2 linked regions of the Ovis aries genome follow. The protein of the gene in region 1 binds, or shares a complex with, the protein of each later gene. Links are inferred from orthologs where the notes say so. Each region holds a gene or a part of one and is shown in the gene's direction. Other genes may lie near its edges.

What was found.
Region 2: the proteins of BCAP31 (region 1) and FIS1 are in contact, whole or in part, in a crystal structure (PDB 8XWX), measured with the Homo sapiens proteins. The link is inferred for Ovis aries from reciprocal best matches to the Homo sapiens genes BCAP31 and FIS1. Residues at the interface, in NP_001132913.1 of Homo sapiens: Asp224, Leu227, Glu228, Ala231, Lys232, Ala235; in NP_057152.2 of Homo sapiens: Arg52, Val56, Glu59, Glu60, Pro63, Lys64, Lys89.

Annotation. Positions count from the first base shown.
Region 1 is NC_056080.1:80,538,537-80,552,965, forward strand, and holds the start of BCAP31 (B-cell receptor-associated protein 31), read left to right. Parts: upstream 1-7,352; 5' UTR 7,353-7,567; exon of another isoform or gene 7,568-7,666; intron 7,667-7,867; exon of another isoform or gene 7,868-8,111; intron 8,112-8,216; 5' UTR 8,217-8,259; coding exon 8,260-8,351; intron 8,352-9,818; coding exon 9,819-9,919; intron 9,920-11,829; exon of another isoform or gene 11,830-11,932; intron 11,933-12,943; coding exon 12,944-13,091; intron 13,092-14,429. Other genes in the region: ABCD1 (ATP-binding cassette sub-family D member 1), read right to left, coding at 2,271-2,451, 5,644-6,558. UniProt on the Homo sapiens protein: Functions as a chaperone protein. Is one of the most abundant endoplasmic reticulum (ER) proteins.
Region 2 is NC_056077.1:35,885,692-35,900,120, forward strand, and holds FIS1 (mitochondrial fission 1 protein), read left to right. Parts: upstream 1-8,401; 5' UTR 8,402-8,464; coding exon 8,465-8,509; intron 8,510-9,389; coding exon 9,390-9,522; intron 9,523-10,781; coding exon 10,782-10,858; intron 10,859-11,294; coding exon 11,295-11,546; 3' UTR 11,547-11,728; coding exon of another isoform or gene 11,729-11,826; 3' UTR 11,827-12,039; downstream 12,040-14,429. Other genes in the region: CLDN15 (claudin-15), read left to right, coding at 14,111-14,327. UniProt on the Homo sapiens protein: Involved in the fragmentation of the mitochondrial network and its perinuclear clustering. Plays a minor role in the recruitment and association of the fission mediator dynamin-related protein 1 (DNM1L) to the mitochondrial surface and mitochondrial fission.

The DNA of each region.
Region 1 (14,429 bases):
ATCAAGGCCACCCTTTGAATAGATCCATTGGTGGAAACAACGACCGCCTCCAACTAGATCTTTCCTCTTGGCAGAGAGAGACAGCTGAGGGTACGGAAGCCCCAAGAGAGAGGCACCGATACAGACACAGAGAGAGATGCTTCTGGTTCTGGAACGTGCACGTCAGGCTCACTCTCTTTACATAGTACTGGAAACCCTCTAACTACCCAACTGCACAAGATACAACACCTTTTCCATAGGAGCTGTGCTTGCAGGAAAGCGAGGGAAATTCCCAGGAGCGAGAAGAGAAGCTAGCAGCTAGTGCTCCTGTGATGTCCCTGGAGACAGAGATGGGAGCTGCTGTCACAAAGCCAGGGCTCAAGATGCAAGGTCTCCTCTCCGAACTGGTGATTATGTGTCTAGGGCTCAAATTAATATCACTTTCAAGTTCAGGAACCCCTCTACCCCAAGTGGAGAAGTTAACAGGAAATGGCCGCCAAACGGTTCATTACCTGGGAGCTCAGCTAAAACCAAAGTCAATGAGTGTTCTGGGGAATCCTACCCTCCAGTGCTTGCTAAGCCCACAAGGACCTTGAGCAAAGAAGACCAGAAGCTGGAAGATGAAATTGGCTTACACTCTCAAGAATTCAGACAACCAAATGGCTGGATAAATAGTGAAGTGGCTCAGTCATGTCTGACTCTTTGTGACCCCATGGACTGTAGCCTACCAGGCTCCTCCGTCGTCCCATGGGATTTTCCAGGCAAGAGTACCGGAGTGGGTTGCCATTTCCTTCTCCAGGGGGATCTTCCTGACCCAGGGATTGAACCCAGGTCTCGAATCGCTGGATAGAGACCTTGGAATAAGCATGATTAGTATGGTAGCTGGCCGAAAAGGGGCAGTCAGAGAGATGAGAAAAGCAGACAAACACAGCTTGAAATTTCTATTTTCAAATGTCTATTTAAAAGAGAATCAAGTAGAACTTTACAGAAAAAAAATTGAAAATTAAAATAATTCAAATTAGATGCAGCCAAAGAGAAAACTAGCCAATGAGTGAGCAGGAAAATAGGAAGACCCCTCCCAGAATTTAGCACAGACAGTGCGAGGTGGGGAATGGGGCAGACAGAGGCCAGAAGGAAAGAGCACACAGGACGAGAGAGGAATTCATTCAATTCATTCAAATATTTGAAAAGGGAACAGCTGAGAACTTTCCATGATGGAAGCAATCTGAGTGACGGAACAGTCTGGATAGTCACAGGACATACAAGAAGTTTCAAGCAGAATAAATGGAAACACACGGGCTAACACCTCCCAGAGAAACTGCAGAGAAAAAGGTCTAACCAGGGAGACCACAGCTGAGAGCAGTTAAGCTGATGGCAGGTTTTCCAATAGAGGCAATGGGATGTTGTCAACGGGCTAAAGAGAGACCAATGGACCGCCTCAACTTCCTCATCCAACTGAACTTCAGTTGTGGGGGGGGGAGGGTAAAATAAAGACATTTTCAGGCAACAAAATATTCTCAAAGCTCCCTTGACAAAAGCCTCACGGTAAGAACTTCTGAAGGACGTCTGTCCGAAGGAGGGTTACCGGCCTGCAGGGAAGGGCTTTCCTAGAAAAAACTGTAGAGAAAGAGAACCACAAAAAAAGCAGAAACTCACGGGCGAATCTGAACATGCAGTGACCCGATAAAGCCATGGCAAACTTGATGGTGGGCTGGTCCTCCAAAATATGGTAAGCAAGGGCTGGGATGAGGAGGAGCTATTGGTTAACCCAGACTTCTCCCAAGTATGCACATTAACTTTCGAAGGGCAACCACGAAGACTGCAAATAGAATGAATTCCTTGCAAACTGGTAGAGGAACAAACTGGGAATCCTTCACAGTCCCCTAGGCCTCAAGGAAGAGGGTCCTGCCCTTGACAACCTGCAAGAGCTATTGCGGGCATGGGAAAGCCCAGGTTTGAGCCAGAAAGGGGTTCCTTGAACATACTTCCCCATCCTCCCACTGCCAAGATGGGTCAAGACAGGGCCAGATGGGCAACTGTGCAGATGCCTGTTGAAGGGTGTTCCTGAACTGCCATCCTTGGGCTTGGCTGAGTGGGACCAAGAAGCGTGAGATACTGTAAGGGGGAACCACATGTAGAGTGGCAGAGAGGAGCTCTGGGAGGGTGTGACCTCGGACGTTTCCTGAGGGTGCCAGCTGGGGTCCCCAGCAGTAGAAGAGGCAGGTGGGCCAGCTGGGCACTGGGCCCTCCCAAGCCTAGCCCAGTGGTCCAGAAGGCCGGCCCCCTCTCACCTGACTCTGAGTAGCCAGTGGCAGTGATGATGGGGACAGCCACCATGAGCAAGCCAGAGGCGCTCCACACGTACTTCATGAGGAACTGCTCCAGCATGACATACCACAGGCGTTCCAGCAGAATAAGGTTGATCTGGGAAGCCAGGTCCTGGTAGGAGTGCTGCAGAAGGGCCAGCTCCACCTGTGGGGAAGGGGTGCCGGAGACCCAGAGGTGTGGCAGTCAGTCCCCCGGGGCAACAGCGAGCATCCCTGAGTGCCAGGCTACACAGGCCATGGCATTCAAAGGCCATGACGGGGCTGAGAGCTGGGGCTTAGGACTGGGCCATGCTTGATGAGTCAAAGCATTGTTTACCAGAATTGGCTTTGCTTAATGGCTCAGCCTACCTGGTCTAAATGCCATACCTCTTGCCACCTCCAGGCTGTGTGAGCTGGAGCAGGTCACTTTCCCTGTCTGGGTTACCATGGACGGGGGACAGGTCTCAAACTCAGGGGAGGTATGGCATAGACAATGCAGAGCTGGGGTACAACGGCAGTGAAGGGGCTCACCCCCTCATTTCTGAGGCTCCCACCCCTTTTCCACTGTCTCTTCAGTTGGGATGTTCACCGTGCCCCCTTTCTGCCCCAGAGAGTTTTTCAACACGGGCTGAGGGCAGCCACCTTGCCCATTTCTTTGAGCAACTGCGGAGGGGTCACCCTGAATGAAGCGGAGGGGAGTGCAGGAAACACAAAGGCAATAGCTGGTTTCAAAGAACGTGCTCCGGTCATCTCTACCTCCATAGGCCCTGGCCTCCCTTTCCTTTCCCACAGTTCCTCTGGGTGATAAACTTGCACTGTGTCCTCCCATTGTGATCGGCAGGGCACACTCCCAAGCAAGCTCGTTCAGGCATCACCCCCAGTGGACAGCCCCACACCCAAGCCAGCTGAGGACGCCAGCCCGCCAGCCAGGCCACGAGGGGACCTGCCCTGCTTGCTTGTGCACTGGCCACCACTTGCCATCTCAGGAGAGAGTGGGCGAGAAACAGGCTCTCTGGGACAGCAGCAGTTAGATGGGCTGGAGTGGCCAAGAAGCAGTCGCAGCAAGGTGGCCATTGGGTCCTGGATGGCTTGGTAGGGGCGCCTGCTCTGATCCTGTCTCCCTACCCAACGGACAAGAGCTGCCCAGCCTGGAATAGTTTCCTTTGCCAATTCACCATGTTATAGCTGACTCTTGACTTGATTCTCACCACGTCCCATTGTATGTGTATTCTCCTGTCTGTGGTAGCCCAGACAGGCAAAGTGACCTGCTCCAGTTCACACAGCCTGGAGGTGGCAAGACATATGGCATTTGGACCAGGTAGGCTGAGCCATTAAACAAAGCCAATTCTTGTGAACGATGCTTTGACTTATTAAGAAAGTCTACCCGTGCTCAGGCTAATAAGAGGTTGGATGTGTTGGTATGAGCCCGTGTAATAACCCTTCTGTGGAGAAGGAAATGGCAACCCACTCCAGTATGCCTGCCTGGAAAATCCCATGGATTGAGGAGCCTACCTACAGTCCATGGGGTCGCCAAGAGTTGGACACGACTGAGTAACTTCATTTCACTTTTCACTTTCATGCACTGGAGAAGGAAATGGCAACCCACTCCAGTATTCTTGCCTGGAGAATCCCAGGGACAGAGGAGCCTGGTAGGCTGCCATCTATGGGATCGCACAGAGTCGAATACAACTGAAGTGACTTAGCAGCAGCAGCAGCAGCAATAACCCTTCTCCTTGACATCCCAGGAATAGCAAAATACTCGGCGGTCTGCCCTCCAGTCAGCCAGCTACCTCTGCCCCAGCCTGCTGATCTGAGCCTGGGCCAGTGTCCATGGGGACATCAGCCAATGGGACTGGGCTGAGCCACGTGCCCGCACAGTGAGGGCAATCAAGCCACCCATGAAGGCCCATCACATCACACAGCCCTTTGCCCGAGGCCTTGACAGACAGGTTGGGGACGTACATCAGGCCCCTCCCACCCCAGCTGGTGAATCTGCCCCAAGTACATGCTATTTCCTGAAACTAACCCAGAGGAAATCCTTCAAAGAGCTAGTGATTCTCCCTTCTTCCCACCTCCCCTGTCCCCAGCTAGGTCTTGGGCATCGCTCTGCCGTTCCTGAAGTGAGCACGTCTACTCTGAGCGCCCTGGCGATCCAGGCTCGTGCTGGGAGCTGGCAAGAGTGCCAGCTGGGGCTGACAATGTAGCTGCGGGGAATGTGCCAAGTGCCTCACCCAGGGCCACGGCTGCCTGCCAAGACCCTGCGTCCCTGGAGCACAGGGGAGGAGGACGGGGGTTGCGGCTGCAGATCCGGCCCTTTTTCTCCTTATCTGGAGCCCAGCCGGGAATGCCCCTATCTGCTCAGGGATAAGTCTTAAAAAAAAAAAAAAATCAGGGACAAGCCTGCCTCCCTGCCTGATAAGATGGGCTGCCAATGAGACAAGGTCGAGGACACAAGGCCATCTGACCTAGGGAGGATCCATGGGCCTTCAGGAGCTGGATGCCATTGTACCCCTCCCCCAGAAGCACTGGGGAACCGAAACCAGAGTCGCAGAGAACCTAGCCGGAGGCAGCTGCAACCCAGGCAGGAGGAGGGGAGGGGCCGGAGCACTGGCCTGGAGTAACCTCTCCCAGGCCCCGGCTCCTGGCCCTAGCCGGCTGGCCGCTGACCCAGCCTGCTGGGGAGCTGCACGGCTGGGACCTGGGCGGAAGGGCGGCCACACTGGGGGCAAGGTGGCCGCTGGGAGGGCAGGAAGTGCGTCCTGCTGCAGTGGCGGCTTGGGCCCCGGCACCCCTGGCTGGGGCCTCGGGGAGGCAGCCAAGCCCGCAGCCAGGCCAGCCTTTGGGCTCCGGAGGGGGGAGAAGCTTGATCTGGAGCGCTGAGATCCGATCGACACACCGAGCACTGCTGCTTGTTAACCTCCGCTTGGGCTGAGTCATGCCCATAATGCCCACTTGCCCGGCCGGACGCCGGGCTTCAAAGGGCCTGGGGGAATAGGAGGGGGCCAGACAGCAGGCTGCATCCTGTCATCCCTGCCCCCAGATGGCAGGAGCCCCTTCTCTGTTGGCTGCAGGCAGGGGGCAGGCTGGGAGCTCTTGGGTCTCCCATCACTAGGGTCCACAGCCCTAAGGCCAGGACAAGGGAGGTGGAGAGGAAGCAGAAGTGACCCAGGACAGTCTCCACCCAGCCTTCCTGCTTCTCCATTTCTGTGCCGATCCGGGCTGCCCACGGCCCTGGTCGTCCACAGCCTCCCTCTCCCATGGCCAGCCCACACCTGTGCCATCAGCCATAGGCAGCCCCAGGCCTTCCTGCCCCGGACTCCCCCAGCCACGCGCTTTCCGGCCCCAGGAGCAGCCCCACCTCATGGCCCCCGTAGAAGGCAATCTCCTCTGAGTTGGCCACCACTCGGGAGTGCATGTAGCGCAGCTCTCCCTTGCGCCGCGCCTCCTCAGCCACCAGCTCCCCGAACTTGGGCGAGAAGGCTCGCAGCACATTGGCCGTGAGGAAGACCACGAGGCCAGCGATGGCCGAGGGCCAGGCTGTGCCAGCCCCGCGGGAGCGGGCTGCTCGAACCAGGGTGTAGGTGGTCACAGCCACGTCCAGGAGCGGCTTGGTCAGGTTGGAGTAGAGGTGGGCCACGGAGGCAGCGAAGGCCACCACGTCCTCCGTCAGGGACTGGTCTGGGTTGCGAAGCCGCCCGTCCATGTTGCTGACCCGGTAGTAGGTCTGCTGGGAGAAGTAGAGACTGTAGGCATGGGCCACCAGCCGGCTGCGGAATGCCAGGGCCAACTGGCCCTCCAGGTAGCGGATGGCACTGTTGATGAAGGTGGCAGGCAGTGCGATGAGCAGCCACTGCACGAGCTGCCAGCTGAAGGCCTGAGGGTCCTTGCGCACGATGCAGCGGGCCAGCCGGCCGTCCAGGCGGGCTACGTACACCGACAGGAAAGTCCGGCTCACCAGGGCGGCCGAGTGCAGCGCCAGCAGCCCCGTCTCCCGGCACAGGATCCTGGGGAATAGCAGCCGCAGGAGCCATAGGAGCCGCTGCAAGAACACCTGGTTGACACCGGCCTTGGCCGCTGAGGCCACGGGGGCACCGGAGACGTCTGGTGCGGGCTCCCCATCCACCGCCGGCGCTTGAGGGCCCCTGGCCGGAGCCAGGCACTGGCGCACCAGAGGGTAGAGTTTGTGGGCTCCATAGGCCATGAGGGCCAGGACCACGGCAGTACGCTTCAGCGTGGTCACCCGCGAGGCTCTGGGGGTAGAGAGCACCGTCATGTCACCTGGGCTGGACTCACGGGACCGGGACGGGTGCCTGAGGCGGCAGAGGAGGCAGGTGGCTGCAAGGGTGGTGGCTCTGACCCCGGGCTCGTTGTCTAGGCAACTGGAGACCTCGCAGTGGTCCCTGAGACTGTCGCTTTAGGCCACCCGGGTGGCGCTGGGGCCCCTGGCGCGGGTGGGCTCAGGGCCCTCCAGGGTCACGGCCTCTTCAGGCGGCCGAAGTGGAGGAACTTGTCAGTCCCTTGGCCCTTGGGGTCAGAGCCTCTAGAGGTCTCCGGCCGAGGGCGTCTTTTTCTCTCCACCTCCTACTCCTCCTCCCCTGGTAGCGCCCCTCCCTGGGATACCGGCCGCGTCCGTCCGCTCCACAGCCCGGCTGAAGCGACTGTGACTCCGCCACCCGCCCAGAATCCCCACCTACCCACCCACCCCTCCCCAGGGGCGAGTCGGGGGAGGGGGAGGAGGCGGAGGAGGGGCGGGAGGCGGAGCCCAGGCACGGGCCGCCCCACCCCGTTCTCGCCCCACGGTGGGGCCCCGCCCCCTCCCCGGACCACAGAGACGCCGGAGGACCGCGCGGGCTAGAGAAGCGGCACCTCGCCTTCCCGCCAAGGCCGGGGACCCGTCTCTCCGCGCGCGCGCGCGAGGCGTGGCTCCTTCCCCAGTCCCAGACGTCGGGAGCCTCGGTTCGGGGGCGGGGCCTCCGGGGCCTTGTGGCGGTTGGGGGCGGGCCGGGACTGGCCGGGCGCTTCCGGTTCCGGCCGCGGGGAAGGGGCGGGGCCGGGCTGGTGGTGGGAGAGTTTGGCGACGACTGGGCGTGCGTGGTGACTCTGGAGAACTCGGTGAGCGGACTCGCGCGCCGCGCTGGGCTTCCGGGCCGCCGAGGTCCCCCGGCTCCTCGACGAGGGGGCGCGGGGAGGCCCGGTGCGCGGGGCCAGGGCCGAGGCTAGAGTGCGGGGGCGGGACCGGGCGGAGGGAAGTCAGGCTGGCGGCGGGTGGAGCCATCTCCAGGGTAGGGGGCGACGTCGAAGTCCCTCCGGAGGAGCCGGCGGGGTGGGGCTTGAGAGGGCGTGCCGGGTCGGGGCCTCGTCGAGGGGTCTTCTGGAGCCGGGTAGGCGCCGCGACCGACCTGGGAGGCCGGGAGGGGTTTCTCCGGCTTTGGAGGAGACAGTCTTCTAGAACTTTCTCTGGACGGGGCCGTGAGGTGCTGGGTTGAGACCCGCTCTTGCCCTTGGCTCCAACTCTCGTCCTCTAGGAGTCGCTCTCGGGGGCTCTCGGAGATACTGAAAGCTGAGCCGAAGGGGCGGTGGTTGGGAGGCTTTTGCGTTCCGCTCCTGCCCTGGGAGGAGCTGCTCGCTACTCCTCTGTCGGCCCGGGTGGAAGGGCCCAGAGGCATCGCAGGTTGGGAGGAAGCGCAAAGGCATTACTAGGACCGAGGCTGCGGTGTGGTGGGCGGTAGCTTGAACTGCCGATTCCCACCCACTGCTGCCAGGGTTCCGCAGGCGGAGTCTCCCGGACTCCACGGGGAGGAATTGTTTGGAAAAGTGTCTCTGGAGGTATTGGCAGCCAGGCTGCGGGGCTCGAGGGCTGGGAATGCTCTGAGGTCTAGGGCTGGTGGCTGCCGAGCTGTCACGACGCCTGTTTGTTCTGTGCTCCATCAGGAACAGGCTCACATCATCCCGGTGGAAAGCTGCTAGCAACACGATGAGTCTGCAGTGGACCGCAGTCGCCACCTTCCTCTATGCAGAGGTCTTCGCTGTGCTGCTGCTCTGCATTCCCTTCATTTCTCCCAAAAGGTATGGGCAGGCAAGCCAGGAAGAGTCTCGGTAGCTTGTGCCTGCAGAGTTGGGGGGCCTTAGAGTTGAAGCCAGCCGGAAACAGGTAGAACCTGTCTGGGATGGGGGTGGCAAGGACTGTGTTTATTATCGCCAGCTAGGCCCACAGTTGTGCTCAGTCACATCTTGACTAGGTCCTTTCCCCTGCACCCTGTCTTCTGGTCTTCAGAGTGTGCCAGAGGGGACAAGACCAAGTGACCATTCTGGAAACGATGCCCTCCGGGTGTTTAGGAGATGGCATTGTGAGATCTGCAAGACTTGCCTCTGGGTCATGTTACCGTTGATTTGGTGACTTCTGTCCTCCTAACCAGTCTCGCTGGGGTTGCGAAGTGGCCTCATGAGCATTACTCAGCCTAGGAAGGCCGAAGCCATGTTTCTTTTCAGTGAACAGAGGACTTCTGAAAAGTTATTTTGAAATTCATCTTGATTACATATACTATAGGAACACATCTGATCTTAAGTTAGAACATTACAAATAAGACTTACAGATGTTTTCATAGAAGCTTCTTTTTAATGAAAAATCACAGGCTGCTGTTGTGATAGAAAGTGTACAGCACTGCTTAAGGAATGTTCTTTACAAAAGCTAGATCTGAATCACCTCATACAGTTCACAGGAAATGCAGAGACAGTGGCCCACTTGGAGCTGCTACATGGAAAGCTTTGCAGGACAAACAGCCTGGTTTCTGCAACAGTGAATTAGGGGAGAAATCAGAGAGCAAGGGAGGGGGGAGTTCGTAGAATAAGGCCTGGTGTGCTGTGATTCATGGGGTCGCAAAGAGTCGGACACGACTGAGCGACTGAACTGAAGGTACTTATTAACAGAATGCAAAATCAGAACCTTGTCAGGATTCAAACAGACCAATTGTTAAAAATAATTGCCTCAGTTGGACTTTGGAGTTCTGGCTCTGATGATGAGAGATTTTTCTTGATATTTTTGAGGCTTGACGGTGGCATTGCGATTGGTAGCCATTTCTGAAGGGTCTTCTTTGACGGAGCTGTATGCTGAAGTATTTATGGAGGGAAAGGTAGGGAGGTCTGGGGTCTGCTTCATGGTAATCGGGGGTGGTGGGAGTCTAGATGAGCCAAGATTGGGCACATGGGAAAACAGTTTAAAGAAATAATGTGGATTTGGCAAGCATTTTGATACTACAGAGGGGACGCTAAGTTTCGCATTTCTCTCCCCAGAGCCTACCAGTGTTTAAGACTTTTTCTAGAAATTTCTATACTTGGACAGGTGTCTTTTTTTTTTTCTTTTTAACACTGTTGAACAGATGTCATAAGTTGGAAAATTGCAAGCAGCTGAGGCTGAATCTGTATGAGATATTCAGTCTTTGAAGAAGAGTGCAAAACTGTATCTGTTTTCAGGGCCCTGGATCCCAGGTGTGTGTTCTTACTCTACTGACCTTAGCCTTTTTGTCTTTTTCACAGATGGCAGAAGATTTTCAAGTCCCGCCTTGTGGAGTTGGTAGTGACATATGGCAACACCTTCTTTGTGGTTCTCATTGTCATCCTTGTGCTACTGGTCATTGGTGAGTGAGTTGTGGCTGATGGTAGCTATCTGACTTAGACCTTTTGCCATGGCCTCTGCTACAAAGCCCTGTGCCATGTGCCATGTTCCATGATTAGAGTACAGCTTTGACTTCTCAGAGACAGACCATTTAGTGCGCCTGTCTTTCTCTTGGGGGAAGAAAAGCTCCCTTCATCCACAAAGACGTCAGCATCCCTGCTACTGACTGCTGGCAGGGTCTTTGCTTTGACCAGCAGCCTTTATGCCCCTGGTGCTGACCATCTTGTGTCTCAGGCAGCTCCTTGGGTCCTTCCAGAGCTGAAACCAAGAGAGGCTAATGGACCTGTCCTGACCTTGGTCTCAGTAGGCTGCAGGGTTTATGAACTGGGTGTGTGTGCTTTTGCTTTTAGGTGTGGGCTGGGGGTAAGAGTTGGGGTGGGGAGGGACCATGCTGGGGGGTGTTCACTTAGAGCTTTGCCCTTCTGCACACCAGATTCCACGAATTCTCCTGGTATGGCAGATTGGGTGGGAGAGGCCCTTTGCAGAAGGTGGTAGTTGGCAAAAGTGCCGTTTTTCTTTTTGAGGAGTCAGGGAACTGCCTGGATGTTCTAGAGCGACATCCTGCTATGATAAAAGGCTGCTTCGTATCCTAATGTAATCTGTAGAGGTCTGCCTAAATAAGTTGTTCAGTTCAGTCACTCAGTCGTGTCCGACTCTTTGCGACATGAATCGCAGCACACCAGGCCTCCCTGTCCATCACCAACTCCCGGAGTTTACTCAAACTCATGTCCATTGAGTCGGTGATGCCATCCAGCCATCTCATCCTCTGTCATCCCCTTCTCCTCCTGCCCCCAGTCCCTCCCAGCATCAGTGTCTTTTCCAATGAGTCAGAGTAAGTTGTTAGCTAGTAGCAAATGCTAGCGACATAGCATAACTAGCTAGAAGCTGCAGCCCTGGCTGGCCCCTAGCCATCCCTGGGAAGGGATCTAGGGCACATCTCACTGGGGGAGTGGGCTTAATGAGAGTTCAGGGTCAACTGCCGTGGGCTGGAGGCCTGAGATAGAGAGGGTAGCCCTCTGCTGTATGACTTGAGCTAGTTTGGCCCAATGCCCCGATCCCTGGTTGGCTCTTTGCCATTAGTCAAGGTGGACCTTGAGGTGCTGGGGTCTCTGGCTGCAGAAGACAGTGTGGGAAAACATGTTTTTTGTTTAAATCACAAAAATAGCACAGCTTTAGAAATTTGTGAATTTAACTTACAAAGTTAAAGGTTCCCATAAACCCATGTCTCACAGGTAACTATTTTAACAGTCTGTGTTATGTTTCCACAGTCATTTTCTGTGTTGGCCGTGTCCTCACATGGAGGAAGGGACAAGGGAGCCCTCTGGAGTCTATTTTATAACGGCACTAAACCCACTCATGAGGGCTTTGTGCTCATCTTCCAAAGGCCCTACTTCCTAGTATCATCTGGTTGAGAGTTAAGGTGCCCAAATGGGAATTTTGGGGGTCAGGAACCCACATGTGTGTATGCTGAGTCACTCAGTTCGGTTTGACTCTTTGCGACCCTGTGGACTGTAGTGTGCCAGGCTCCTCTGTCCATGGGATTTTCCAGGCAAGAATACTGGAGTGGGTTGCCATTTCCTCCTCCAGAGGATCTTTGCAACCCAGGAATCGAACATACATTTCCTGTGTCTCCTGCATTGGCAGGCAGATTCCTTACTGTTGAGCCACTTGGGAAGCCCACGGATGTAACACAAAGATACCAGTAAGTGGAGGTGTGTTTTTATGATGTAAAATCAGCCTAAAAAACAAGCAGTCTCATACCAGAAATTAAGAACCAGATAGTAGCCTTACATTGCCCCTCTCCCATGGGGATCCATTAAGAGCACTCTTTAGGTAGATCTTTACATAATGATTTAAAAAGATGTCTCAGATGTTCATTTCAGCAGCACATATCCTAAAATTGAAATGAGACAGATGATTAGCATGTCCCCTGCATAAGGATGGCAAACAAACTCATGAAGCATTCCATATTTTTTTTAAAGCACGTTGTAGGGGATACAGAAATAGAAGTAATGGACTTATATAATGTTACAAATCAGTGTACTTCAATTGAGAAAAAAGAGATAGCAGGGTTGAGGGAGAAAAGTAGTAGGTATGGGATCGTTCCATTTCTAGCCTGTAAACACACAGATGTGAGTATATATATATATATATATATATATGAGTGGCCAGTAATGGTTTTTTAGAGCAGAGGTTGTTCACTGTTCAGGTGTTTGTGCTCCCCCTGTAACAGCTTAGAACTCTGTTAGGCCTTAAGGATGTAATAGGAAAGGTTTCTGTTCTTGTGGCGCTGTAGTCTAATTTGGGGGACATGAACATTAATTTTAGGTGTGTGTATGACATTGATTAATGGGACTGGAAATGATTGCTTTATTTAAGCTGGCCACATGAAGTAGGTTCTACTGGAGGTGATTGATTATGTTATGGGCTTCTTTCTCCTACATTGAACATTGATGAGCATGAATTTTTTTTTTGTAAGCAGAATACACCAGTTTAAGTAACCAGTTATAAAGCTTAGACACTTAGAAATGAAAACCTTTGAATCTTTAGCAGGCATCCTCCAGGTCTTGACTCCTAGGCAGCTCATGCTTCCCTTGTGGGCATTTCCATAAACAGGACTCGCCTGGCTTATCAGTTGGGTGGCTGATGGCCAGCCCCGTTTGTGATAAACAGAACCAAACAGTGGGGGCACCGTGGCAAAGGGAGTTGCCCTGGTTGCCAGCGACATCTCAGATTCGGTGAGCTTCTTGACACGGAGAGCAAGCTTGTGGTCTGGGTAGAATGGGTCTAGAGGGTGACATGAGAAAAGCTGGAGGAGAGAACAGGTCGGAGGGCAGCACTTCTGATAAGGCATCCATCAAGATGTGTGTAGAAGGGGAAGAGCAGGGGAGATAGTTTTGAGGAAAGCGAGGCTGCCCAGACTCACGCCTTGCATCTCAGCTGGACTGATCCGGGGCTGAACACCTGTATCTCTGCTCTGCCACAGATGCTGTTCGTGAGATTCGAAAGTATGATGATGTGACAGAGAAGGTGAACCTCCAGAACAACCCTGGGGCTGTGGAGCACTTCCACATGAAGCTTTTCCGTGCCCAGAGGAACCTCTACATTGCTGGCTTTTCCTTGCTGCTGTCCTTGTGAGTGGGGAGGGGCGAGGGAGTGTGAAGGGACCTATGGGCTAGTCTGTGGCCTTGAATTGGAGGCCCTTTCTACGTTCGGGGAACCACACAGTTTCTCCAGAGGCAGCATTGAAGATGGGAGAGGGCTGACGGGAAGGTCAGAAGACCACGCTGTGGCTCTGCCATAGCCTGCCACATGTTCTTTTAGGGCATGTGTGCTACTGTCACCTTGCTCTCTGTACACAGAGTGAAGTAAGTGACGGGTGTTTTCCCTCCTCTGGAGAGGCCCTTTGGAGCCCAGCTTTAAAAGGGAACAACTGAATGGGGCCTTTTTGTGTATGGGGTCCAGTCCTGAGCAGAAAGGGCACAAAATGGGACTGAGACCAACCGTGTCCCCAGGGCCTTCCCTGGTGTAGACCTATCACACGAGCGTGAGACCTATTGGAACCTGAGGGCTGGCATGCTACCTCCTGTTCACAGGGGTTCTGATGGAGTGAGGGTTTGGCTATTCTCAAGTGTGCTTACCTGGCAGGGAATAAGACATTGTGCTCGGGACAAGGGTTTCCAGGAGTATTGGGGAAAACTTACTGTGAGGTTACTCAGAAGTAAGGTGAGTTTGTGGATTCTTGGGCTGGGCTGTCTTAATTCTAATCACCTGGACCTCCTTCTTCACTAGGCATTGGAATGACTGTCTTGGTTTCCCTTTTGCACACAAAAAAAGTCAGTTGCTCAGCTGAGCCTGGTGTCTCTGGGTCAGAGTTGGAAAGTGACAAGAGGTGGAGCTGGCAAGGGCTTTTCAGGGGGATACATCTAATCCCAGGAGTGATGTGCAGGCCTGCCGTGTTCTACCTTCCGAGAGTCAGGAACTGAGAGTGCTGGGAGGAGTTGGACACAGAGCCCAGGGTTTTAGGGTTTCAGGAAGCTCCAAAAAAGAAGTATGATCTTGTGGACTGAAACTGAAAGGGAAGCAGATCCGGGGGACTGAGTCTAACCGCAAGTGAGCCAGAGGGTAGGAAAAGAGAACTGGCTGTGTCTGAAGGACCACAGAGGCTTTTGGGGAGGATTTCATCTGGAAGTTAGGAAGGACAGAAAGAAACCTAAGGCTTGGACTGGAAGAGGATAGGGAGCCTTAAGAATAGTATTGATGGGAGTAGGAAATGGCAACCCACTCCAGTATTGTTGCCTGGAAAAGTCTATGGACGGAGGAGCCTGGCAGCCCATGGGGTTGCAAAGTCGACACAGCTGAGCATCTGAGCACAAACAAGGGCCCACCTTAATCCAGATTGAGCTCATCTCAAAATCCACAATCACATGTACAAAGATTGTTTTTCCAAATGAGGTCCTCTTTGTAGGTTC
Region 2 (14,429 bases), on another chromosome or scaffold:
GCACTTTTAGTAAGATTCCAGGTGATTCCTGGGCACGGTGTACACCCTCATCACATAGATGGGAGACAGACTCTAAAGGAGGCAACAGATACATTTTCATTTACAGAGAGCGTCTCTGGTTTAAGGATTAGCAAGAAGAATCCCGCTCATCCCGGACCACAAGGGCGAGAACTGAGATTCGCGGATCCCAGGCCTCGGCACCGCCCCTTCTGCCTCACAGCCTCACCGTGCCCCGCCCCCCCGCGAAGATGCTCACGTTAATTGGCCAGCGGGGCCTCCGTGCCCCGCCCAGGGCTCGTCTCGGCTCCGCCTCCTTCCAGAGGGCGGAGACTGCACAGACGCAGACTGCGCGCTCTTCCCGCGCGAGTCCTCGCGGGTCCTCCGGGTCACCGAGCCTTCCTCCTAGAGCAGACCCTGGGGTCACCCTTACCTCCGGGGCCGACCGAGCCGCTACCAGGAAGTGCAGATGTCTCCGAGGTTCTTAGCGTCTTTTTTTTTTTAAGAATGCCTGCGTTACTCTCTCATTCACCCCACGAACAATTCTGGGGTGTCTGCCCTTTGGCAGAGAGATAAACAAGACACGGTCCCTGTCCACATAAAGGACTGTGGGACTGGGTGATAAGCGCTGCCCCGGAGGGTAACGGCCCTGAGCCTGGGAGTTAGTTGCCGGCCACGCAGGGACTCAGGTGTTTGGTGGATGGAGAGCTCTGATTGGAGAGCATTCCGAGTGGAAGAAAGGTGGCCGTCATGAAAACTCGCCGTGTTCAGGGCGCGTGGGTGCCTGGAGACGAAGCTGGAGAGGTAAGCAGAGGCGATCCTGAAGGGCTTTGATGCATCATAAGAAATTTCAACCATGTCCTGAGTAGTCTGCTGCTGCTGCTGCTGCTGCTGCTGCTGCTAAGTCGCTTCAGTCGTGTCCGACTCTGTGCGACCCCATAGACGGCAGCCCACCAGGCTCCGCCGTCCCTGGGATTCTCCAGGCAAGAACCCTGGAGTGGGTTGCCATTTCCTTCTCCAATGCACGAAAGTGAAAGTGAAGTCGCCCAGTCGTGTCCGACTCTTAGCGACCCCACGGACTGCAGCCTATCAGGCTCCTCCATCCATGGGATTTTCCAGGCAATAGTACTGGAGTGGGCCTGAGTAGTCTAGACGGTATTTTAGTCAAGCGATGTGGGGTCTGATCTGCACTTTAAAATGCAGCTGGCAGCCAGGCTGGGTTGAAAGAGGAAAACAGGTGAAGGCTGTTAAAGAGTATGACGACAGAATGGAGGCAGCGGTGGCCTGATGTTATGTTATTTATTCGTTAGCTGTCTTTTCTCTTCCCCTAAGATTGACGTCCATGGGAGAAGGATTTATGACTTCCATGGGAGAAGGATTTACGTCTGTTTAGTTCATTTCTCTTACGCAGCACTTAGAAGGGTGCCTGGAACACAGCAGACCCTTAAGAAATGTTTTGTTGGCTGGATGAATGAACCAGTTGGGAGTTGACAGGACTTCCTGTCTAATTAAACAGTAGATGAAAGTGGAAAGTAGAGGAGACTGATCACTGAAGATTAGAACACAAATAGTGGAACACTTGGGACTTCCCTGGTGGTCCAGTGACTAAAACTCCGCACGCCCACCCAGGGGGCCCATGTTCAATCCATGGTCAGGGAACTAGATCCTGCATACCATAACTAAGACTGGGCACAGCCAAATAATAAATTGTTGTTGTTCGGTCGTTAAGTCATGTGTGACTCTTTGTGACCCCGTGGACTGCAGCACTCCAGACTTCCCTGTCTTTCACTATCTCCCGGAGTTTGCTCAAACTCATGTCCATTGAGTCGGTGATGCCATCTAATCATCTCATCCTCTGTCACCCCTTCCCCTCCTGCCCTCCATCATTCCCAGCAACGGGCTCTTTTCCAGTGAGTCAGCTCTTCGCATCAGGTGGCCAAAGTATTGGAGCTTGAGCATCAGTCTTTCCAGTGAATATTCAGGGTTGATTTCCTTTAGGATTGACCGGTTTGATCTCCTATTAACTTTTTAAAAATAATAGTGGAATTCTGTTTGGTGGGTGTTTGCTGAGAACTTCTCCTGGGCCGACCTGACAAGATGCTGTAAGGCAGAAGTCCGAAACAGGCTCCAATTTCTGGTGTCGTCAAAGGAGGGCCACTGCCACCAAGTACCAGTTCTAGGTTTTGGTTCCACCAGCAAAAAATGTCAGTTTCCTTTCTGCCCACTCACAGGACTGAATTTGAGAAGGTCATACTTTTTTGTTTTGTTTTTAATATGATCAGCCTACAATCCAGCTGACTGACTTTAGGACTATTTATTATTACATTGATGTAACATAATATTGATGTAACATCATTTAATAAAACCATTCCTTGGTGATTTAGTTGTTTGTTTACCTTCAGAGATATGCAGGAATGAATTTCTTCATGCCTTTTCTTTCCTTGCTTTTCTTTTCTTTTTGGCTTTTGTTGAATACTTTTTCCCCCACAGAAGTAGATTACTAGTCAAATAATATAGCTCTTACTATATATTGGCTGGTTTCTTTTCCAAAAAGTTAATCATAGCAACTGCAATAACCATTTATGCAACAATAATTAGTACAAATTGAGTATCTACTGGTAGAGGCTCTGAGCTCTGTGGACATAAGATGAGCAAAGCAGACAGACCCTTCCCTCCTGTAGCTTCCAGTCTAATACAGGAGGGTGGCATTCATCAGCAAATCACACAAGTGTATAATTAGAAAGTAATACATCAGTTCAGTTCAGTCCAGTCGTTCAGTCGTGTCCGACTCTGCGACCTCATGAATCGCAGCACACCAGGCCTCCCTGTCCATCACCAACTCCCGGAGTTTACCCAAACTCATGTCCATCAAATCAGTGATGCCATCCAGCCATCTCATCCTCATCCTCTTTCGTCTGCTTCTCCTCCTGCCCCCAATCCCTCCCAGCATCAGGGTCTTTTCCAATGAGTCAACTCTTCGCATGAGGTGGCCAAAGTATTGGAGTTTCAGCTTCACCATCAGTCCTTCCAATGAACACCCAGGACTGATCTCCTTTAGGATGGACTGGCTGGATCTCCTTGCAGTCCAAGGGACTCTCAAGAGTCTTCTCCAACACCACAGTTCAAAAGAATCAATTCTTCAGTGCTCAGCTTTCTTCACAGTCCAACTCTCACATCCATACATGACCACTGGAAAAACCATAGCCTTGGCTAGATGGACCTTTGTTGGCAAAGTAATGTCTCTGCTTTTGAATATGCTATCTAGGTTTGTCATAACTTTCCTTCCAAGGAGTAAGCATCTTTTAATTTCATGGCTGCAATCCCCATCTGCAGTGATTTTGGAGGCCCCCAAAATAAAGTCTGACACTGTTTCCCATCTATTTCCCATGAAGTGATGGGACCAGATGCCATGATCTTTGTTTTCTGAATGTTGAGCTTTAAGCCAACTTTTTCACTCTCCTCTTTCACTTTCATCAAGAGGCTTTCTAGTTCCTCTTCACTTTCTGCCGTAAGGGTGGTGTCATCTGCATATCTGAGGTTATTGATATTTCTCGGCAGTCTTGAATCCAGCTTGTGCTTCTTCCAGCTCAGCGTTTCTCATGAGGGGAAACATAAAGTAACACATACTGTGAACTAAAAACACAAGCCACTTGCCAAGAGACAGAAGTCAGTTATACAACAATCGCAGGGGCATTGTTGGTGGTTTGGGGGGTTTTGTTTTTAATTTTACTGTATTTTACTAAAAAAGGGGGAGGGAGGTTATTGCTGTTGCTTTGCCTGTTTTCATTCTGAATTAATCTGAATTGTTCCTTCCTCATTCATCTGCTGCTTAAGGGAAGTCCTCTACCGTGCGAAACAAAAAACAAAAAAAATGAAAAATTTACACTTAAATTTTTTAAAGATAAAAACTGGAGCATACTTACAAAGTCATCATATCCTGTCTGTCTGTTTATTCTTTAACTGACTCCTCGTCTCTGATGCTGAAGCAGGACTTAGGTTTAAATCCCAGCTCCTCCACTTCTAGCTCTGTGACCTAGGGGAGATGAATTAAGCTTTTTGAGTCTCAGTTTCCTCATAGATCAAACAGAACTCTTACCTTCCTGGTGTCATTTTGGACCACAGGTCACATGTGAGCCTTCCTTTATCTGGGGAAGAAAAGAGAATAGCAGAATAGTCTTTGGCTCCTGGAAGATGTTATTACCATACCCAAACCAAAACTCGTGTGGTTCACAAAAACACAGGGCTAACTAAGAAAAGAATGAGCGGGTTTCAGTCTTATATTCTGAAAATGCAGGATGGGTAGTGCTCAGCCTCTCAACAGGAGCCCTCCTAATCTGGATGCCAGGGAAGGCCTTCCCTAAGGAGGAGTCTTAGAGCTTAGAACTGACGTCAGTAGGAATTCACCAGGTCAGTCAGGGCACAAACCTATGTGTCATCCTACCCTCCTCTCTCACATCCAGTCCATCAGCAGTTCTTGCTGACCACACCTTCTGACCACATATCCTGAATGCCTTCACCTCCACTGCTGCCGCTATAGACCAGGTCACCACTGTCTCTTGCCTGGGCCACCCCAGTAGCCACCGGAGGGATTGCTCTATGCTAGATCATTTCACTCTGCTGCCCAAAACCCTCCAATGACTTCCCATCACTGGTCACATTAAGTCCAGTTTCCTTACCATAGTCTACAAGGACCCCCACGATCTGCCCCTGGCTACCTCTCTGCCCTCATTTTCTAAACCACTCTTATGTGTTCCTTCCTTAAGGCTTTGGCTCTTGCCGTTTCATCTCCCTGGAATGTTCTCCCCATTCACCTGCACGGCTACTTCAGTTCTCTCTCCAGGTGTCACTTCTCCACGGTGGGCTTCTTTGAGCTCTCCTCCACCAGCATCCTCTTCTCTGACAGTCCCTTTCCCCTGCTTTTCTTGTTTTCACAGCACCCTGCCATTATTGTGTTTCTAGTTATTTACTTGTTTGATTATTTTTTCTGTTTTCCCCACTAAAATGCAAGTTCTCTGAGAACAGGAACTTTATTCAGTGCTGATCCCAAATACTTAAACAGTGCCTGGCACGTAACAGGTGTTCAATAAGTATCTGTTGAGTGAACTAACTCATAGATGAATGAATGAGTCATATAAGCAAAGCGGGGGGCATTTCACGGCGGAGGGGAGATGTTCTAGATAGCAAGGACTGCATGTACAGAGGGCCTGTGGCCACTAGGGGTTGCAGAACTGAAAGGAGGCCTGTGGGGTTAGTGTACAGACAGGGAGAGGCAGTGAAGGAGAGATGACGCAGAGCAGGAGCCAGACCAGACTAGAGAGAACCTTCTGGGCTTTGCTGCAAGGTTTTGGCCTTTGTTCTAACAGCAGTGAGAAGCTATTAAAGGGTTTCAGATAAACTGAGAATTGTATTTTTATAAGGTCTCTCTGCCTACTCCAAAGTGACAATAGTTTGCATTTGGATGCTATTGAAAAAGATCAGTTCTGTAGCTTAGTCATGTCCCACTCTTTGTGACCCCATGGACTGCAGCATGTCAGGCTTCCCTGTCCATCACCAACTCCCAGAGCTTACTCAAACTCCTGTCCATCGAATCAGTGATGCCATCCAACCATCTCATCCTCTTTCATCCCCTTCTCCTCCTGCTTTCAATCTTTCCCAGCATCAGGGTCTTTTCCAATGAGTCAGTTCTTCGCATCAGGTGGCCAGAGTACTGGAGCTTCAGCTTCAGCATCAGTCCTTCCAATGAATATTCAGGACTATTTTCCTTTAGGACTGACTGGTTCGATTTCTTTGCAGTCCAGGAAAATCTCAAGAGTTTTCTCCAACACCACAGTTCAAAAACATCAATTCTTCAGCGCTCAGCTTTCTTTATAGTCATAACGCTCACATCCATACATGACTACTGGAAAAACCATAGCTTTGACTAGACGGACCTTTGTTGGTAATGTCTCTGCTTTTTAATATGCTGTCTAGGTTGGTTATAGCTTTTCTTTCAAGAAGCAAACATCTTTTAATTTCATGGCTGCAGTCACCATCCACAGTGATTTTGGAGCCCCTCAAAAATAAAGTCTCTCACTGTTTCCCCATCTATTTGCCATGAAGTGATGGGACTGGATGCCGTGATCTTCATTTTCTGAATGTTGAGTTTTAAGCCAAGCTTTTCACTCTCCTCTTTCACTTTCATCAGGAGGCTCTTTAGTTTTTTGCTTTCTGCCATAAGGGTGGTGTTATCCGCATATCTGAGGTTACTGATATTTCTCCCAGCAATCTTGATTCCAGCTTGTGCTTTATCCAGCCCGGCATTTCGCATGATGTACTCTGCCTGTAAGTTAAATAAGCAGAGTGACATTATACAGCCTTGATGTACTCCTTTCCTGATTTGGAACCAGTCTGTTGTTCCATGTCCAGTTCTAACTGTTGCTTCTTGACCTACAGGAGGCAGGTCAGGTGGTATTCCTGGTATTCCTGTCTCTTTTAAGAATTTTCCACGGTTTGTTGTGATCCACACAGTCCAAGGCTTTGGCATAGTCAATAAAGCAGATGTTTTTGAAAAAGACGGAGAAACGTAATTTGGAAGTAAAATGAACAGGCACTACTTCTTATCCCTATAATCCAGGGTGGATGGCTGTGCTTACTGGACCCAAGGAACAAACTTAAGATCTCTTCATTGGCACAGAATCGAGCCATGTAACACATTCTTTTCCCCCCCACAAATTACATTTAACAAACCCTGATGGAGTTTTTGCCATGTGCCAGGCCTGTGCCAAGAGCTACAACAGATGCAAACATGGATGAGGGGTAGCAGGCCACCTGAGGAAAGTAACATCCTGATAGAAATAGTGGACTTTTGCCTTTCTTAAATTCCCTGCCTTCAAAGGAAGGTAAGTTCTACTTGCCCTTAGTGTTCAGCCCTGTTTTCACTCATCTGCTTCATATTATGTACACCTTTTTACCCTCTCTGCTTACCCCAATGCCCAGCCAAACTTAGGCACCCACTACATCTTTGAAGGAACGTAAATTTTTCTCCTTGACTATTATGGAGCCAGTTCCCTAAATTGAGGTTTCTCTTAAACTTTACTGAGCTCATATCAACTGTCCAAGCCAAACAGAAAAGAATAACTCCCTACTTTAACTCACAAGGCTATGAGGAAAAAAAGATTCAAGGGGCTTTGCAAATGTGAAGGGTGTTTGTTTGGATGCTAACCCCCTGCATTTGCACTGCGGTCATTACTATTATTTCCTGACAATTCAAGAAATATTTCTTGAACATTTCATTTTCCTTGTGCTCAGAGCTAGAGATGGACAGATAAACAAGATACAGTTTCTGCCCTCGGGGAACTTACATTCACAGGTGTGCTGGAGTACTGTGGGTCAAGGTAAAGAGAATTTGAGAGTCACTTAGCTTCCCTGGTGGCTCAGATGGTAAAGCGTCTGCCTGCAATGCAGGAGACCTGGATTCGATCCCTGGGTTGGGAAGATCTCCTGGAGAAGGAAATGGCAACCCACTCTAGTATTCTTGCCTGGAGAATCCCACGGACGGAGGAGCATGGTAGGCTACAGTCCATGGGGTTGCAAAGAGTTAGAGGCGACTGAGCTACCCTCATGACCTACGCTTCACTGCACAGAACACAGATGCCAGAGCAGCATGCAGCATTTCCCCTTTCCATGTTTTTTTGCTTCTCACTTCCAAGCTCCTTAATGCCCATGACCCCACATGAATGGCCTTTCCCCCTTTAGTACACCCAGAGGATGCTTTATTAAATAATATTTAAAATATTGGACCTTCTGTGCAAGCAGAGGCAACAGCTTTTCTTTAAACTCCCATTAATAGCATCCCCCATTAGTATGTATTCCAGTCTCTGGTTTACGTTTGACAGATCTAGTTTTCTTTGCTCTTGCATTATAAGTCCGCCCGGGCCCTGGAAACCCTGGTACTAGTTATGATTTTCTTGCAGGCACTAAAAAGTCACGTAGCCCCTAGGGTCCTAGATATCTGGGAGCAGGGAGTTGGGGCAGGGGGGAGGGAGGAAGAGAGAGGGTTAGACTAGATCTTAAAATTACGGGATCCATGCCCAGATCCCCACCTTCTCTTTACGCTGTTTTCAGTCTGGGGGCTAACCATCAAGACACCGTCTCGTACTTCACTCAGGGAGCCTCTGTAGACGGAGGCACTTGCAGGGTACCCAGGAAGACCAGCTTTAGGACTGGCCAGGCGCCGTGCGCGGCCTGCGGGCTCTGGTGAGGGAGAGGGACCAGTTGCAGCGTGCGCATCAGTGAGACCATCTGCGCGCCGCGGCGGCGGTAGGCGGAGGCGGGTTCGGCGGCGGCTACGGGAAGCGATTGGCTCTGCGTAGGGGAGGGCGGTCCCGCTTCCGCCGGACACCGGAAGTGACTCTCCGCCCCTGTCAGTGGGCCATGGAGAAAGTGGCAGTGTAGCGTCCGAGTTGTGAGGACTGCGGGGCCGGCGGCCATGGAGGCCGTGCTGAACGAGTTGGTGTCTGTGGAGGACCTGCTGGTGAGGCCCGGCTCCGAGGGAGGGAAAAGGAAGATTCGGAGGGGCGGGCCCTGAGGAGAGTCGGGTAGGGGCCAAACTCTCCTCCCAGCATCAGTTTTGCCTAGAGAAGCCGAACTACGGCTCCCGGCAGCCCCAGCAGCGTTCGGCTCTTGCCCAGAGGGTCCACTTTGCCCCAGAGCCTAGTGGGAGTTGTAGTTTCCTGTGCCACCACGCCTCAGACTCGGGGCCTGGAGTCTGACGGGTGCTAGGTTCTCCCAGAAGCTCGAGGTCAGGATGCGGGCACTTGATTTTAAGTGCTCCTTCAGTGGCGGGGGAACACAGCGACCACCGTAAAGTTTCACATAGTACTCGATCCGGCACAGCGCTAAGTCCCTTGTAGGGGATGTCTCAATCTTTGTAGCTCTAACAGGAAGTAGGCAGGTTTATTACGGTTTTTTCCTTCAGATAAGATAGGGTCCAGACTAGGCAGGGTGGGGCTGAGAGAAGCAGTCTCCGACGAGGGGCCGCGTGGGCTGGACTGTTGTTGAGCTATTCTGACAGCCTGTTGTTTACTGTTCAGGCCAGCCTCCCGGGGTCAGCTGCTCCGGGAGCGGTGCCTGGGGCCGCCACCAGGTGGCATCTCCACTCGGCACCACTAGGGGGAGGGAAGCAGAGAGGGGAGGTCCAAGGAGACAAAGGAGACGACCCGGCACTAAGAAGCAGAATGCCTGGGTCCCAGAGATGAAGATTGCAGGACCTGGGGTACCCCATGGTCGGGTACCCCAAGACCCGAACGGGGGTTGTGGCAAGGGAGAAGATGGGTAACAGGGACACCCAGGTCCTGCTAGAGTTCAGCTTGCCCCCTTCACTTCTAAATGACTCCTCTCCTCTCCTGTGGCAGAAATTTGAAAGGAAATTTAAGTCTGAGAAGGCAGCAGGCTCGGTGTCCAAGAGCACGCAGTTTGAATATGCCTGGTGCCTGGTGCGAAGCAAGTACAACGACGACATCCGTAAAGGCCTTGCTCTGCTGGAGGGTGAGGTGCTAGGCTGACTCCCCAACTCTCCCCTTCCCAACTTGCCATCGTCGTCCTCTGCCACCATTGGCCTGGTTTGCTCCCTCCATCTCCAGTGTGGGGATCCTTTCAACATGGGATCTCAGCGTTCAGTTATCTTCCAGTAAACTCACTGCAGGAAAGGGCTGCACTTAGTCTGACTTCTCCCAGTGTGCTTTTGGCTACTTGCTACCTCATTGGTGTTTTGCCAGACAGTCATAGCATGTCAGTCCCCGTGGGACTTTGGTGATCTGGTCATCTAGACAGAAGGAAAGGGACTGGTCTCAGGTCAGACAGCTGCTTAATTAATGGCTGAATTGGGAACAGAAGCTCCTGTCTTCATGTGCCCCAGTCGTGTTGTCTTTGCCCCCTCACCTCACCTTATTGGTTATTTAGCAGCTATTGTTGAAAACCTTTGGGGCGAGTCACGTAAAAGTCCAGAAGACCATCCTCAAAACCTGTGAGCAGATGGTGGTTTTTTTTTTAATCAAAATACTGTTTCCTGTTAACTTTGGATAGGTCAGCATTTGTCAGAGGCCACAATACTTGACCTTTAAATTTCTCTGTACCCCTTTTCTCTTGGTCAAGTAATGGTGTATAAACAATCACTAAACTAGCCAAAGATACCTATTGTAAATCCATAAAAGTAAGAATCTTCCTGAATGCAAATCATCTCAGCCTCCAGTTCCTAAGAAATAGGACACAGCTGCAGAAGTGGTCTCTAAACATTGCCATTCTAGTTGACAGACGCTTGGGAAGCTGTATAAACACCTGCCCACTTAGCAACAAATTCTAGTACACAGAGTACAGCTGAACGCGTAACCTTATGGGAAGTCACTGAACTTAGAAAGTTAGATGGGATCTTTCAGGGAGGGGTAGTTGAAGGCAAGTTTGGAGCTGTTTTTTTAAAAAGAGAAGGAGTGAAAACTTATTTTGAACACTACTCTGGGCAGCAAGCAACTGGAGTAGAGATGCCTTTGGCTTGTCCACTGCCCTGATTTGCTTTTAGTTCACTTGGATGAACCAGAGTTGACTGGAGTGTTGATATGGGGGCTGCGTACACCTCAGTGTTGGCTGGGGTTCATGCTGCCCCACGGCTCTGGGTAGGAAGCCCAGAGTGACTGGAGCTGAAGTGGAGGCTCAGGACAGTGAATTTAGGGAGTGAAGGGGGTGTCTGGGACACAGGCACTAAGAAAGAAGAGAAGGGGTTTTCACCCTTTTCCTTCCTCCCTACTCCCCAGAGCTGCTGCCCAAAGGGAGCAAAGAGGAGCAGCGGGATTATGTCTTCTACCTGGCCGTGGGGAACTACAGGCTCAAGGTAAAGCAGAGCACTTCCTTCTCCCCCTCCACCCTGCCTGGGTGGTCAAGCACTCATCTCTCTCCTCCAGGGTAGAGCCCAGGCCAGAGAGGGCAGTAGGCAGGGGGTGGTGTTGGGTACAGAGGTGCAAGGTGAAAGCAGGCCAAGATACTAAGGGAAGGCGAGAGACGGAGGATCTGGGTGCCGAGGGTGTGGGGAGCAAAGTGATGTCAGCACTGGGGTGCAGCCCCAAGCCTTGGGCTGTTATCTCCTTCAGCTTATCACCCCCACACAGTTGGGGTGGTTTGTGGACTCTACTCCTCTAGGTGGGGCTGGAGCAAGGGAGGGGGTGCAGGGAGAGGGAGGAGCCCCAGGGCCAGCGGAGAGAAGGCCCCTCTGATGGGCAGGCGGAGGGATGGAATTCTGAGGGGGTGTGTGTTGTTTTCCCTGAGTGCAGGAATATGAAAAGGCCCTGAAGTATGTGCGAGGGCTGCTGCAGACAGAGCCGCAGAACAACCAGGCCAAAGAACTGGAACGGCTCATTGACAAGGCCATGAAGAAAGGTGAAGGCCGTCCTCTCTGCCCCTCTGCCTCCCTCCACTCCCTGCCCTCATGTTTCCTTGGCCCCCAGCATCCCCGGGCCCCTCTCCACTCTCTTAACTCCTCTTCTGTCGCCCGTGCCTGGACCCTCTGGTCTCTCTTCAGATGATGCCCTCCAGGCAGTTCCTCCTCAAACCCTCTTCTTTCCCCGGCCCTGAGGGCCCCTCACACCAGGACTCCAGGGAGAGAGGCATGTCTTCTGCCAAGGAGCAGCAGGCCGTGAGGTGGTAGCCCAGGTCCCCGCAGGGACTGGGTTTGGCCTCGTGACAGTCTCCCTTTTCCTCTCCCCAGATGGACTAGTGGGCATGGCCATCGTTGGAGGCATGGCCCTGGGCGTGGCGGGACTGGCTGGACTCATCGGACTTGCTGTGTCCAAGTCCAAATCCTGAAGGAGGTGGCATCCCTGCGTCTGTGCAGGGACACGTGGGAGCCCGTGGAGGACACTGGAAGAGAGGCCCACCCCCCCGGCCGTCCCTTTCTTCTCCTGCACTGCATCCCTGTCCTCTGTGAACGTCACCCTCCTCTCCCCTGAGAGCTGTCACCTATCCCCAAATCATGTGCTTGGAGATGAGTGTAAATAAACCTGGACTTGGGCTTGGGAACCTCTTGTGTCCATGTTGAGAAAGGGGTGGGTTTGGTTGGGCCCAGGAGATCAGAAAATGGAATATATGGCTAAGCATACGGGGTCACACGTGTGCCCTTCCTGCTCTGCGCCCTCCTACGCCTACCCCGGAGGCTGCTGTGGGGTTCTCCTTTGTCCACCAAGCTGCCCAGACCCCACACCCTTCCTTCCTTCCCCCACCACTAGCCATGTCCTTGAGCAGTGGCAGGCAGCATAGGGATGTGGCCTTTGCATGGCCTTAGAATCCTGACAAAAAACTGACCAGAGGCGGGAAGGGCAGAGCTGAAGGGACAGGCAAGACTGATGTCTCCTCTGACCCACTCAGCTGCCTCTCAGCGTGGAGTTTTCCACACCAGGGAGGCCCCCACTCAGCTTCCTCCAAAACCTCCGCCCTTCCCTCCCTTTGTCCTGCGTCCTCCCCTTCCTCCTCCCTGTCCCTCTCCTTAAGGGAGGGGGGCCACCGGGGGCGGGGCAGGGGGGGTAGGAAATGGGCATTTGGCATGGACTTGGCAGAGGTCACGGAAGAGGTCAGGAACCCAGGACATCCCAGTTGCAGAAGGAAGGTTGGAACCCAGTCTCCACCCAGCCCACTTGGCCTCACACCCATTAGCCCGTGCCAGGCTCAGCCTGGGCCTGTCTTGCTTCACTTCATACCTCTCATTCTTTATCCCCACTGGGGGGACAGGGGAGGAGGCACCTGCAGGCAGCATGGAGGAGCCTGGCACAGGGAAGAGGATGGGGATTACACCTCAGCACAGTGATGTCCCGTGTGACTGCCTGGGTATAGAATGAGCCCCTTGGAACTGAGCCCCAGCCACGCTCGCCAGAAGGGAACCGGAGCTGTCCCAGCTGTGGGAAATGAGACCGTCTCTGCCAGGACAGGTGCTCAGTGTTGGCTTGGGGTGGGGACCCAGAGGTTTCTAATCTGTCATAATTAGTAGAGCCGGTGACGGTTCTGATAACTCTGAGCTGCTTAGATTATCAGAGGATCACGTCCTGGGCTTGTGATTTATCCCACTTAGGGCCCCTTTGGCAGCAAGATCAAGCTTTTTGCCGAGAGTCAAAGATCAACCCAACAAGGGGCGAAATTCAAGTTCAGGAAGTTGGAAGTTTGGAGAACAGCCCCTGGTGGCCTCAACCTGGGCCTTGGACACCCAGGGCATTCACCTGGTACTGAGCAGTTCATACTCGCAAGGAGCTTTGATATGAGGTCACAATTCTCAACATAACCTACGAAGTGAGGAGGAGCAGTTCAGTTCACAGAAGCAGAAACAAGCTCAAGGGGCTCCGACTTCATGCCCGTGGCGCGCTGGTCAAGGATAGGACCTGGTTGGAATCCTGGTTGGTTGGATTCCAAAGCCATGGGTTCCCCCAGATTTCCCATTCCCTCATTCAACCTTACTCTCCCTTGGAGACTCAACCCTGAGGTCTCTGAGTTTCTTGAACTGTTCTCACCAGCATTCAGAGGGTGGCTCAGCTGCCTTGATCCTTCCCCACCGAAAGGTGCAGGGGGCCTCTCTGTGTTCAGCCTCGGTCTCTTGCCTCAGCCGCTTCCTCTTTCCTTGCCCCTCTTACTCCATTCTCTGGCCCCCGACGAAAGCTGAGTCAGAAGCCAGCGCTTCCCCTTGGCTCCCAGTGCCTCCCATGGGAGCCCCTCCTTGGCGGCGCGTCCGTTAGTCACTCCCCGGTAAGTCCTCTCCCCCCACCCTCGAGGGGCGGGGAGCCCAGGGCAGCCCAGAGGCCAGGGGGGAGGGGGTGGACTTTTGGCCCGTTTCGTTTATTCCCTCCATCTCCTCGTCAACAGCTGCTGTGCGCGCTTGGCTCATTCCTCTGACGGACCTGCGGGGAAGCGAAGAGACCGGGGGAGAGGGCAGGAGACACACCGGAGACGGACCTGGGCCACGGAAGAGGCCGAGGCTGCAGCCTGCCTCCCTCTCTTTCCCTAGCCTGCCTGAACCACCCTCCTTGGCCAAAGCCCCCTCGGGTTCCCCCGGGGCCCAGCCCCTCCCCCTCTCTGGGGCCCTGGGCTCCCCCGGGGCCTGTGGCCCACCATGCCGGTGGCTATGGAGATCTTCGGCTTCTTCCTCACAGCTGTGGGGCTGCTGATGCTGGGGGTGACCCTGGCGCACAGCAGCTGGCGAGTGTCCACCGTGCATGGGAATGTCATCACTACCAACACCATCTTCGAGAACCTCTGGTACAGCTGTGCCACCGACTCCATGGGCGTCCACAACTGCTGGGAGTTCCCGTCCATGCTGGCCCTCTCCGGTACGGGCTGGGGAGAGCCGAAGGGAGCAGAGGGAGGCGGGAGGCTGGAGAGACCCCAGGGAGGGTGGGCGCTGCCTGTGGTTGGACCTTGGGCGCCATACA